Linked DNA regions of Arabidopsis thaliana. The protein of the gene in region 1 binds, or shares a complex with, the protein of each later gene. Each region holds a gene or a part of one and is shown in the gene's direction. Other genes may lie near its edges.

Region 1 (5,571 bases):
TTCAGGACCAAAAGATACGTGCTTCGCTTATAATTGACATATGGATGGAATTATATGGTAGAGGTAGTTCTAGTACTAACAAGTTCATGTTATACCTTAATGAGCTTGCTTCCCAGAATCTGCTTAAACTTGTTCATCTCGGGTACGTTGGTGTTGTTTTTTACAACATTTGTTTCATTGCACCTTCTTGCCATCTACCATTTGATCATGAACTTATTTGTTTTACTTACTACCAGGACAAATAAGCGCGAAGACGGTTTTTACAATGAGTTGTTAGTCACTCAACATAATATTCTGAGGGAGTTGGCTATTTTTCAAAGTGAATTGGAACCAATCATGCAAAGAAAGAAACTAAATTTGGAGATACGAGAGGACAACTTTCCGGACGAGTGTTTAAATCAACCTATTAATGCTCGACTTTTGTCTATCTATACGGGTAATTCTTTAAGATCCTCTTCTTCTTTTTCCCCTGAAAATCATGCATAGAAATATGACCACCTTTTTTTTTTGTTACAGATGATTTGTTCTCATCGAAATGGTTGGAAATGGATTGCCCCAATGTTGAGGCTTTAGTTCTTAATATCTCCTCATTAGACTATGCATTGCCAAGCTTCATTGCTGAAATGAAGAAGCTAAAGGTTCTGACAATCGCAAATCACGGTTTTTATCCAGCAAGATTGAGTAATTTCTCGTGTCTCAGCTCATTACCAAACCTGAAACGGATTAGATTTGAAAAGGTTTCAGTCACTTTGCTGGACATTCCTCAATTGCAACTCGGCAGTCTCAAGAAGCTATCATTTTTCATGTGTAGTTTCGGTGAGGTTTTCTACGACACAGAAGATATAGATGTCTCTAAAGCTCTATCGAATTTACAAGAGATTGACATAGACTACTGCTATGATCTTGATGAGTTACCATATTGGATCCCCGAAGTTGTTTCATTGAAGACACTTAGCATCACAAACTGTAACAAGCTCTCTCAACTTCCAGAAGCTATAGGGAACTTGAGTAGACTAGAAGTGTTGAGGATGTGTTCTTGTATGAATCTCTCTGAGCTGCCTGAAGCAACTGAGAGACTCAGCAACTTGCGGTCTCTGGATATTTCTCATTGCTTAGGATTGAGAAAGTTGCCTCAAGAGATTGGCAAACTACAGAAACTGGAGAATATCTCGATGAGGAAGTGTTCGGGATGCGAGTTGCCGGATTCAGTGAGGTATCTAGAGAATCTGGAGGTCAAATGCGATGAAGTAACTGGATTGTTGTGGGAAAGGTTGATGCCAGAAATGAGAAATTTGAGAGTTCACACGGAGGAAACAGAGCATAACCTGAAGTTGCTTCTAACGTTTTAAGTTTTGAGTGAAAAAAAAAACATTTTCGTAGCTTGTGTATTCTTATTGACTCTTTAATGATCACAATCTAGACTAAACGAGTAATAATATTACAAGAGTCAACATGCTATGTCTCGGGTTTGATACTAGTTTATTGCTCTGTAATGAAATTACTAACCACGCTGTATCATTGTATGTACTAGTGATTTTAAATTATGAGCTTTTCAAATACGCATGTTATATTGGGCCGTAGAAACATAAAGGCTTAATTTGAATAAGCCGCTTTGAAAAAGGCCCAATCTAAGAAAGGCATACTCTCGCACGTACGAGGAGAGCACGTTCCGTCTATCGAACAACGTGTGGTTAACGTAAAAGACCAAACGCAAACGCAGTCGTTTTCCTTGGTCATTGCGCGGCAAGGGACCGAGTCTGAGAAGTCAAAGGCGACAGCTTTGCTATGCAATTCGTCTCCTTCGTCTATCTACATTTTTATGAACCACACATTGATATTTCAGTGATCCCCTTTTTCGATTTTCAGCGATTCTACAAACAAGTTTTTTTTTTTTTTTTGGATTCTGGGTTTTGTCTGAGAAGTGAAAGAATGAACGATTGGGCTAGTTTGGGAATAGGTTCTATTGGGGAAGCTGTGTTTTCCAAGCTCCTGAAAGTTGTGATTGATGAAGCAAAAAAGTTCAAAGCTTTCAAACCCTTGTCCAAGGATCTCGTATCAACAATGGAGATATTGTTTCCGTTAACTCAAAAGATTGATTCGATGCAAAAAGAGCTTGACTTTGGTGTAAAGGAACTAAAGGAACTTAGGGATACGATCGAAAGAGCTGATGTAGCTGTTCGGAAGTTTCCAAGAGTCAAGTGGTACGAGAAATCTAAATATACTAGAAAAATTGAGAGAATCAATAAGGATATGCTTAAGTTCTGTCAGATTGATCTTCAGCTTCTTCAGCATAGGAATCAGTTGACGTTGTTGGGTTTGACGGGAAACCTTGTGAATTCGGTTGATGGTTTAAGTAAAAGAATGGACCTTTTGAGTGTTCCTGCGCCTGTTTTTAGGGATCTTTGTTCGGTTCCCAAGCTTGATAAGGTTATTGTTGGATTGGATTGGCCATTGGGGGAGTTAAAGAAGAGACTCCTTGACGATTCTGTGGTTACTCTTGTGGTTTCTGCTCCTCCTGGTTGCGGGAAAACCACGCTGGTTAGTCGGCTTTGTGACGATCCAGATATCAAAGGTATGTATTGTTGATCCACATTAAGTCTTAAAGTTTCAATTTTTACTCGTGAATAGTTGAGCTGGTTTCTCATGTAGTTTCCTTTGGCAGGGAAGTTCAAGCATATCTTCTTTAATGTTGTGTCAAATACTCCTAACTTTAGGGTAATAGTACAGAATTTACTCCAGCACAACGGTTACAATGCACTTACATTTGAGAATGATTCTCAAGCAGAAGTTGGCTTAAGAAAACTGCTGGAGGAACTTAAAGAAAATGGTCCTATATTGTTGGTGTTGGATGATGTGTGGCGGGGAGCGGATTCTTTCCTTCAGAAATTTCAAATTAAGTTACCAAATTATAAGATTTTGGTGACTTCTCGGTTTGACTTTCCGAGTTTTGATTCCAATTATCGTTTGAAACCTTTGGAAGATGATGATGCTAGAGCCCTTCTCATTCATTGGGCATCGCGACCTTGTAACACGTCTCCTGATGAGTACGAAGATCTCCTCCAGAAGGTTGTTGTTTCATTCATCTAGATGAACCTCTATACATTTGTGATCTACGAAATCTGTAACTATATCAATAGATTCATCTTTTTCTTTTTTCACATGGTGAGTATTGCAGATATTGAAACGTTGCAATGGATTCCCAATCGTAATTGAAGTAGTGGGTGTTTCACTCAAAGGACGATCTCTAAATACATGGAAAGGTCAGGTGGAAAGCTGGTCTGAAGGGGAAAAAATTCTTGGTAAGCCTTATCCAACTGTGCTAGAATGTTTGCAGCCTAGTTTTGATGCTCTGGATCCCAACCTTAAGGAGTGCTTTTTGGACATGGGCTCATTTCTTGAGGACCAAAAGATACGTGCTTCGGTAATAATTGATATGTGGGTGGAATTATACGGTAAAGGTAGTAGTATCTTGTATATGTACCTTGAAGACCTTGCCTCCCAGAATCTACTTAAACTTGTTCCTCTCGGGTATGTTATTTATGTTTCAAATCTATATCTTTGCACCTTCTTGCCATCTACCATTAGTGGAACTTATTTATTTCTTTATCAGCACAAATGAGCACGAAGACGGTTTCTACAATGACTTCTTAGTGACTCAACATGATATCCTTAGGGAGTTGGCTATCTGTCAAAGCGAATTTAAGGAAAACTTAGAAAGAAAAAGACTAAATCTGGAGATACTAGAGAATACATTTCCAGACTGGTGTTTGAATACTATTAATGCCTCTTTATTGTCTATCTCTACGGGTAATTCTTTGGGGTCTTCTTTTTCTGAAAATTAAACTTAATGATTATACAAATCTCTGCTGTTTCTAGAAATATGACTTCTCTATAACTATGATTGGTCTCTCTTTTTCTTACAGATGATTTGTTCTCATCGAAATGGTTGGAAATGGATTGCCCCAATGTTGAGGCTTTAGTTCTAAATCTCTCTTCATCAGACTATGCATTGCCAAGCTTCATCTCTGGAATGAAGAAGCTGAAGGTTCTGACAATCACAAATCACGGTTTTTATCCAGCAAGATTGAGTAATTTCTCGTGTCTCAGCTCATTACCAAACCTGAAACGGATTAGATTGGAAAAAGTTTCAATCACTTTGCTAGACATTCCCCAACTGCAACTCAGCAGTCTTAAGAAGCTGTCTTTGGTCATGTGTAGTTTCGGTGAGGTTTTCTACGACACAGAAGATATAGTTGTCTCTAATGCTCTATCGAAATTACAAGAGATTGACATAGACTACTGCTATGATCTTGATGAGTTACCGTATTGGATCTCTGAAATTGTTTCATTGAAGACACTTAGCATCACAAACTGTAACAAGCTCTCTCAACTTCCAGAAGCTATAGGCAACTTGAGTAGACTAGAAGTGTTGAGGCTGTGTTCTTCTATGAATCTCTCTGAGCTGCCTGAAGCGACTGAGGGACTCAGCAACTTGCGGTTTCTGGATATTTCTCATTGCTTAGGATTGAGAAAGTTGCCTCAAGAGATTGGCAAACTGCAGAATCTGAAAAAGATCTCGATGAGAAAGTGTTCGGGATGCGAGTTGCCGGAGTCAGTGACGAATCTAGAGAATCTGGAGGTCAAATGCGATGAAGAAACTGGATTGTTGTGGGAAAGGCTGAAGCCAAAAATGAGAAATTTGAGAGTTCAGGAGGAGGAAATAGAGCATAACCTGAACTTGCTTCAAATGTTTTAAGTGAAAGAACGTTATCGTAGTAGCTTCTGTGGATCTTGTAATGTTTGTTATTCATTATTTTCGTTGTTATATACATTATAATGGCTACTGAGTCCAAGTACAGAGAAAATGTCATGCCAAAGAATTTTGTGTAGGTCAATCTTTTAAAACCATTTAAGAGTACTACTAAATCCTTGATCCTTATCTAACTTGAATAGATTTGAACAGAGTTATTCACCAACATTTTTGACAAACTATAAATGTAATATTCAACATTCTTAATGTTAAAAATATAATGTTGGTAAATTCTTTGAAAATCCTAAAATGTGAAGTCAAGTCTCCTTTTTCCTTTGCTAGCTAAACTTCTGTTCTGGGATTCAAACAATGGTTTGTTTGAAACTTCAAAGTACCGCGTGACTTTTCCGTTATAAATTTGATCTAATGGCTTTTATGAAGAGTCACGTTTTTTATAATCAAAGAAAGAGTCGGTCAATAGATTAAAATTTCTCTCAAATTGCTTGGTTTTCATCTTAATTCATAATTCTCCTCTCCCTTCATAGGAACCATTATGAATTCGAATTCGATTCAAAGCTTTGATGCCTTGCCCCACAATCTTCGAGAGTGTTTCTTGGACATGGCCTCATTTCTTGAAGACCAAAGGATAATAGCTTCCACTATAATTGACTTATGGTCTGCATCATACGGTAAAGAGGGTATGAATAACCTCCAAGATCTTGCCTCTCGCAATCTCCTTAAACTTCTTCCTATTGGGTATGTTACTTTCCATTCATCTACCAATTCTTAACCCTAAAGCCTATAGAAAACGGTTTCACCAT
Region 2 (5,191 bases), on another chromosome or scaffold:
ATTGTTGTATAATCACAAGATTTTGTTATGATAGAAAAGGTTATTATATGATTACTTTTTAACTATCATGGGGTTAACTTTGGTGGTGGTTGTATATTTGATCAAGCTGAGATTTGGTGTTTATTTTAGTGGGTCCTAAAATGATTTTTAAAATGGATCTTAGGAATAATAAAATTTATCTTGTGGCCATAAATTTAGAAAAGAATAATCCATCATAAGTTAAGCAAGATCTTCTCTTGAGATTTGATTCTATATAAGCCGGTGACATGTTAGGCCCTCCAAAACTTTATAATATATGTTTTAATTGTTTGGGTTGCATAATCTTAGGTAGGGTCATTTATAAAATCCCAATCCTCGTGATAGACACCTCACATGCCTTTGCTTATTACTAAGGAACCAAACCCTCTTTACCAGATTAAGTTTAATGATTATCATATATGAGCTGGCCATTTTCTGTATCCAAAGTTATAAACTTTATGGAATTAGATCACTAACATTTGGTTCCTTATATTTATTCAGATGTCTTGAAGAAGGAGCTGAAGATTTCTTATTGAAGCCTGTGAAATTAGCTGATGTGAAGAGATTAAGAGATTCTTTAATGAAAGCTGAGGAAAGAGCTTTTAAGAATATTATGCACAAGAGAGAGCTTGAAGCTAATGATATCTACTCGCAGCTAAAACGCGCAAAGATCTGAGTTTATCAGATTCCACGTACGATATGTTCTTTAAAAGCTCAAAGATTCACACACATGCATGTCCTGATTCTTTCGGCTTACAATTTTTGAGACATTACGGCTTCTTTTGCTGATAGAACCAAGACTGATCAAGAGTGACAAAGATGGGTTTTTATAAGATAGAAATGTAAATTGTAGACTTGGATTCATTAGAGAGGAGAAGAGATACATTTTTTTTTTCTTTACATGAGAGATATGTAAAATGGTGGTGTGTTATTTTGGAAGTTAACATATGAATTTCTTTTGTTAAGATTACTTAAATAATGATTTAGGAATGGATTAGTAGTTTAGTACCGTTCATTACACGAAGACAAGCTAATCTTTTGTCTAATTAAAATAAAGCTGTCTACATGAATCGAATCCAGCGAGATAAGTTAGTTATTTTAAGCGTTGGTTGGAACACTTTACATGGCTTTTCGTAGAAATTTCCCCAAGTTGGGTTTTATTAAGACCAAGAAAATTCTAGTCTCCTAGACTTTTTTTTGTTTCTTTTGTTAATTTAGTCTCCTAGGCTTTTTCATTCTATCTGAAAGCAAAATATGGTTATGCAATTTGGTTTAGCCAAAAAAACAAACTAAATTTTTCTAGTCCGGTTCATGTAACTTCATAATCAAACAAGTAAAAGTCGAATGTGACGCGTCTTGCCGAACGCAAAAACGGACCAGGCAAGAAGGTGTAGTTAGTTAATTCGGTTAATATTCAGCTGAGAGAAATCGAACCGGTTCCATATCTTGTAGATTATCCGGTTTACTTTCCGGATAAGATTTATAAGCAAAACAGAGTTAAAGTAGTAGATTTCTTCTATACGAGACCAAATCTGAAAACCCAAGTCAAGCTACAAAAACTTAACTCCAAGCGAACAAATCTCCTCATTCATTAAACAACAAAATTGTTTTCCGACAAAAAAGTGAATATCATTGAGTTACTGCGAAATCCCAACCGAGAGTGACATCTCAAACCAAAAGATGGAGTCTATATTAAAGAGACGAAGACTCCAAAGTCAAGCTACAAAATTTCCAAGCAAAGATTACACAGAGAAAACTTTCCGACCAAATGTGAATGTTTATGAAAGTTTCTGCGAAACTCCAGTCATGTCGGATGTACAAAGCCATACACCAATGTAAAACCGACACGTGGAAAGCTAAGATTCCTAGCTTTTCTTTCTTCATGAGTCTCCAATAGCCAAAGAGTCAACTCCAAAAAAAAAAACCCATTTTTGCATTGAAATGGTCTCATGATGGGGTATTTTGGGTAACTAATTAGTCCTGTCTACATCTTCCCATAAATTAACAGAGTAGGAGCGGATTAAAGAAGCAAGACGATTCAAAAGAAAAAAGAGAGAAGAAAGTCCACTAAAGAAAAGAGAATAGATATAGATCAATGGCGTTTGAAGCTCTTACCGGAATCAATGGTGATCTAATCACCAGATCATGGTCAGCCTCGAAGCAAGCTTACCTAACCGAGCGCTATCACAAGGAAGAAGCAGGAGCAGTCGTAATCTTCGCTTTCCAACCATCTTTCTCAGAGAAAGATTTCTTCGATCCGGACAATAAATCTTCCTTTGGAGAAATCAAGTTGAACCGTGTTCAGTTTCCTTGTATGAGGAAAATCGGTAAAGGTGATGTAGCTACTGTTAACGAAGCTTTCCTCAAGAATCTTGAAGCTATCATTGATCCAAGAACCTCATTTCAAGCTTCTGTAAGAAGATTGAAAACATCCGAATATATTTTTCTTTTTTTTTCTTTTTTGGTCTCTTATGCTTTTACTTCTTCAGGTGGAAATGGCTGTGAGGAGTAGAAAACAGATAGTGTTCACAGGACATTCCTCAGGAGGTGCAACTGCAATCTTAGCAACAGTTTGGTATTTGGAGAAATACTTCATACGCAATCCAAATGTTTACCTTGAGCCTCGTTGTGTGACATTTGGAGCTCCTTTGGTTGGTGACTCTATCTTCAGTCACGCACTTGGGAGAGAAAAATGGAGCCGGTTCTTTGTGAACTTTGTCTCAAGATTCGATATTGTCCCTCGGATTATGCTTGCTCGAAAGGCGTCTGTAGAGGAAACTTTGCCTCATGTTCTTGCCCAATTGGATCCCAGAAAGTCTTCCGTCCAAGAGAGTGAACAGAGAATAACAGAGTTTTACACAAGGGTGATGCGAGACACATCAACTGTTGCAAACCAAGCTGTTTGTGAATTGACTGGAAGCGCAGAGGCGTTTTTAGAGACCCTTTCTAGTTTCCTTGAGCTAAGTCCTTATAGACCCGCCGGTACTTTTGTTTTCTCTACAGAGAAGAGATTGGTTGCAGTGAACAACTCGGACGCCATTCTTCAAATGCTGTTTTACACTTCTCAAGCCAGCGATGAACAAGAATGGTCTCTAATTCCATTTCGAAGTATCAGAGATCATCATAGCTATGAGGAACTGGTACAGTCGATGGGAAAGAAGTTGTTTAATCATTTGGATGGAGAAAACTCAATAGAGTCTACGCTCAATGACCTTGGAGTGGTAAGTCTCTCTCTCTCTCTCTTTTCATACTGTGCAGCTCCATAGCTCCATTCTTGCAATCATTTAAACCCTTCAGAGTGTTTCCTTTTTCTGCAGAGCACAAGAGGCAGACAGTACGTTCAAGCTGCATTAGAGGAAGAGAAGAAACGAGTAGAGAATCAGAAGAAGATTATTCAGGTTTGTGGTTGATAAGCTTGTTCATGAATAATGCAGGTACGTGCTTCGTCTGTTTGTGTCTAACAACATAAAACTTGTTGGTTCTGTGGTTTTTAGGTGATCGAGCAAGAGAGGTTTTTAAAGAAACTAGCATGGATAGAAGATGAATACAAGCCAAAGTGTCAAGCCCATAAAAATGGGTATTATGATTCCTTCAAAGTTTCAAATGAAGAGAATGACTTCAAAGCAAACGTCAAGAGAGCTGAGTTAGCCGGTGTTTTTGACGAGGTGCTTGGTTTAATGAAGAAATGTCAACTTCCAGATGAGTTCGAAGGGGACATAGATTGGATCAAGTTAGCAACTCGATACCGCAGATTAGTTGAGCCTCTTGATATTGCAAACTACCATCGACATTTAAAGAACGAAGACACAGGGCCGTACATGAAAAGAGGAAGACCAACCCGCTACATATATGCTCAGAGAGGCTACGAACATTATATACTGAAGCCAAACGGAATGATTGCAGAAGATGTATTTTGGAACAAGGTAAATGGTCTTAACTTAGGGTTACAGCTAGAAGAAATTCAAGAGACTCTAAAGAATTCGGGATCCGAGTGCGGATCATGCTTTTGGGCTGAGGTTGAAGAACTCAAAGGAAAGCCATACGAGGAAGTTGAGGTAAGAGTTAAGACATTAGAAGGGATGCTTGGAGAATGGATCACAGACGGGGAGGTAGATGATAAGGAAATATTTCTGGAGGGTTCAACGTTTAGAAAGTGGTGGATTACGCTTCCCAAAAATCACAAATCGCATTCTCCTCTGCGAGACTATATGATGGATGAAATAACAGATACCTGAACCTTAGGTGGTGGAGTATTTAAGCTATTAGAACACTTGCTTCTCTTAATTTGTGCAATAAGAAATGTTTATCAATCTGGTTTCCACTTCATGATGATCTTAGAATAAGAAACATGTTGTATGATCATTGTGAAGTAATGTAATAGCTCTCTATTCTAATGTCAAATTTGGTTTCCACTTTACAGTGATCTTAGAATATATACGTTACTCTACTAAAGCCTAAAGCCATCTCAAATAGCATGAACCAGTAACAAACAACCTTCCTTAGATTGAAATGGTCTCATGATGGGGTATTTTGGGTAATTACTCCTGTCTACATCTTCCTACTATATTAACAGAGTAGGAGGACTAAGAATCAAGACGACTCAAAAGAAAAAAGAGAAGAAAGTCCACTCAAGAAAAGAGAAATGGCGTTTGAAGCTCTTACGGGAGTCAACGGTGATCTAGTCACCATATCATGGATGGCGTCGAAGGGAGCTAACCAAACGGAGCACTATCTCAAAGAAGAAGTAGGAGGAACCGTTTTTTTCGCCTTCCGAGCATCTTTCTCGTCGGAAGATTTGTTCGCTACGGAGAATACATCTCCCTTTGGAGAAATAAAGATGAAGCGTAATCAATTTCCTTGTATGAGAAGCATCGGCAACGACGTTGACACTACTGTTAACGAAGCTTTCCTCAAGTCACTTGAAGTTCTCATTGGTCCAAGAACCTCATTTCATGCTTCTGTAAGTAAACAAAAGCTTCTTAAATGCGTTTTAAATCGAAAACATCAGAATAATTTGTGTCTGAAACTTACTTTCTTCAGGTGCAAAGCGCGGTTGATAGAAAACAACAGGTTGTGTTCACAGGACATTCTTTCGGAGGCGCAACTGCAATTCTAGCAACAGTTTGGTATTTGGAGACATACTTCATACGTGACGCCTATGCTGCCCCTGAGC

What was found.
Region 2: the proteins of AT5G66900 (region 1) and EDS1 are in contact, whole or in part, in a cryo-EM structure (PDB 8YN1), measured with the Arabidopsis thaliana proteins. Residues at the interface, in NP_201491.1 of Arabidopsis thaliana: Glu798, His801, Asn802, Leu803; in NP_190392.1 of Arabidopsis thaliana: Arg383 (codon at 3,528), Glu416 (codon at 3,627), Phe419 (codon at 3,636), Lys420 (codon at 3,639), Val423 (codon at 3,648), Glu427 (codon at 3,660).

What each region holds. Positions count from the first base shown.
Region 1 is NC_003076.8:26,714,116-26,719,686, reverse strand, and holds AT5G66900 (Disease resistance protein (CC-NBS-LRR class) family), read left to right. Parts: upstream 1-1,728; 5' UTR 1,729-1,785; coding exon 1,786-2,572; intron 2,573-2,662; coding exon 2,663-3,066; intron 3,067-3,175; coding exon 3,176-3,528; intron 3,529-3,610; coding exon 3,611-3,807; coding exon of another isoform or gene 3,808-3,842; exon of another isoform or gene 3,843-3,923; coding exon 3,924-4,756; 3' UTR 4,757-4,964; downstream 4,965-5,571. Other genes in the region: AT5G66910 (Disease resistance protein (CC-NBS-LRR class) family), read left to right, coding at 1-142, 237-436, 517-1,349; AT5G66890 (Leucine-rich repeat (LRR) family protein), read left to right, coding at 5,304-5,506. UniProt on the Arabidopsis thaliana protein: Probable disease resistance protein.
Region 2 is NC_003074.8:17,754,615-17,759,805, reverse strand, and holds EDS1 (alpha/beta-Hydrolases superfamily protein), read left to right. Parts: upstream 1-1,658; 5' UTR 1,659-2,113; coding exon 2,114-2,431; intron 2,432-2,507; coding exon 2,508-3,239; intron 3,240-3,335; coding exon 3,336-3,416; intron 3,417-3,512; coding exon 3,513-4,253; 3' UTR 4,254-4,477; downstream 4,478-5,191. Other genes in the region: RR5 (response regulator 5), read left to right, coding at 520-694; AT3G48080 (alpha/beta-Hydrolases superfamily protein), read left to right, coding at 4,661-4,978, 5,059-5,191. UniProt on the Arabidopsis thaliana protein: Positive regulator of basal resistance and of effector-triggered immunity specifically mediated by TIR-NB-LRR (TNL) resistance proteins.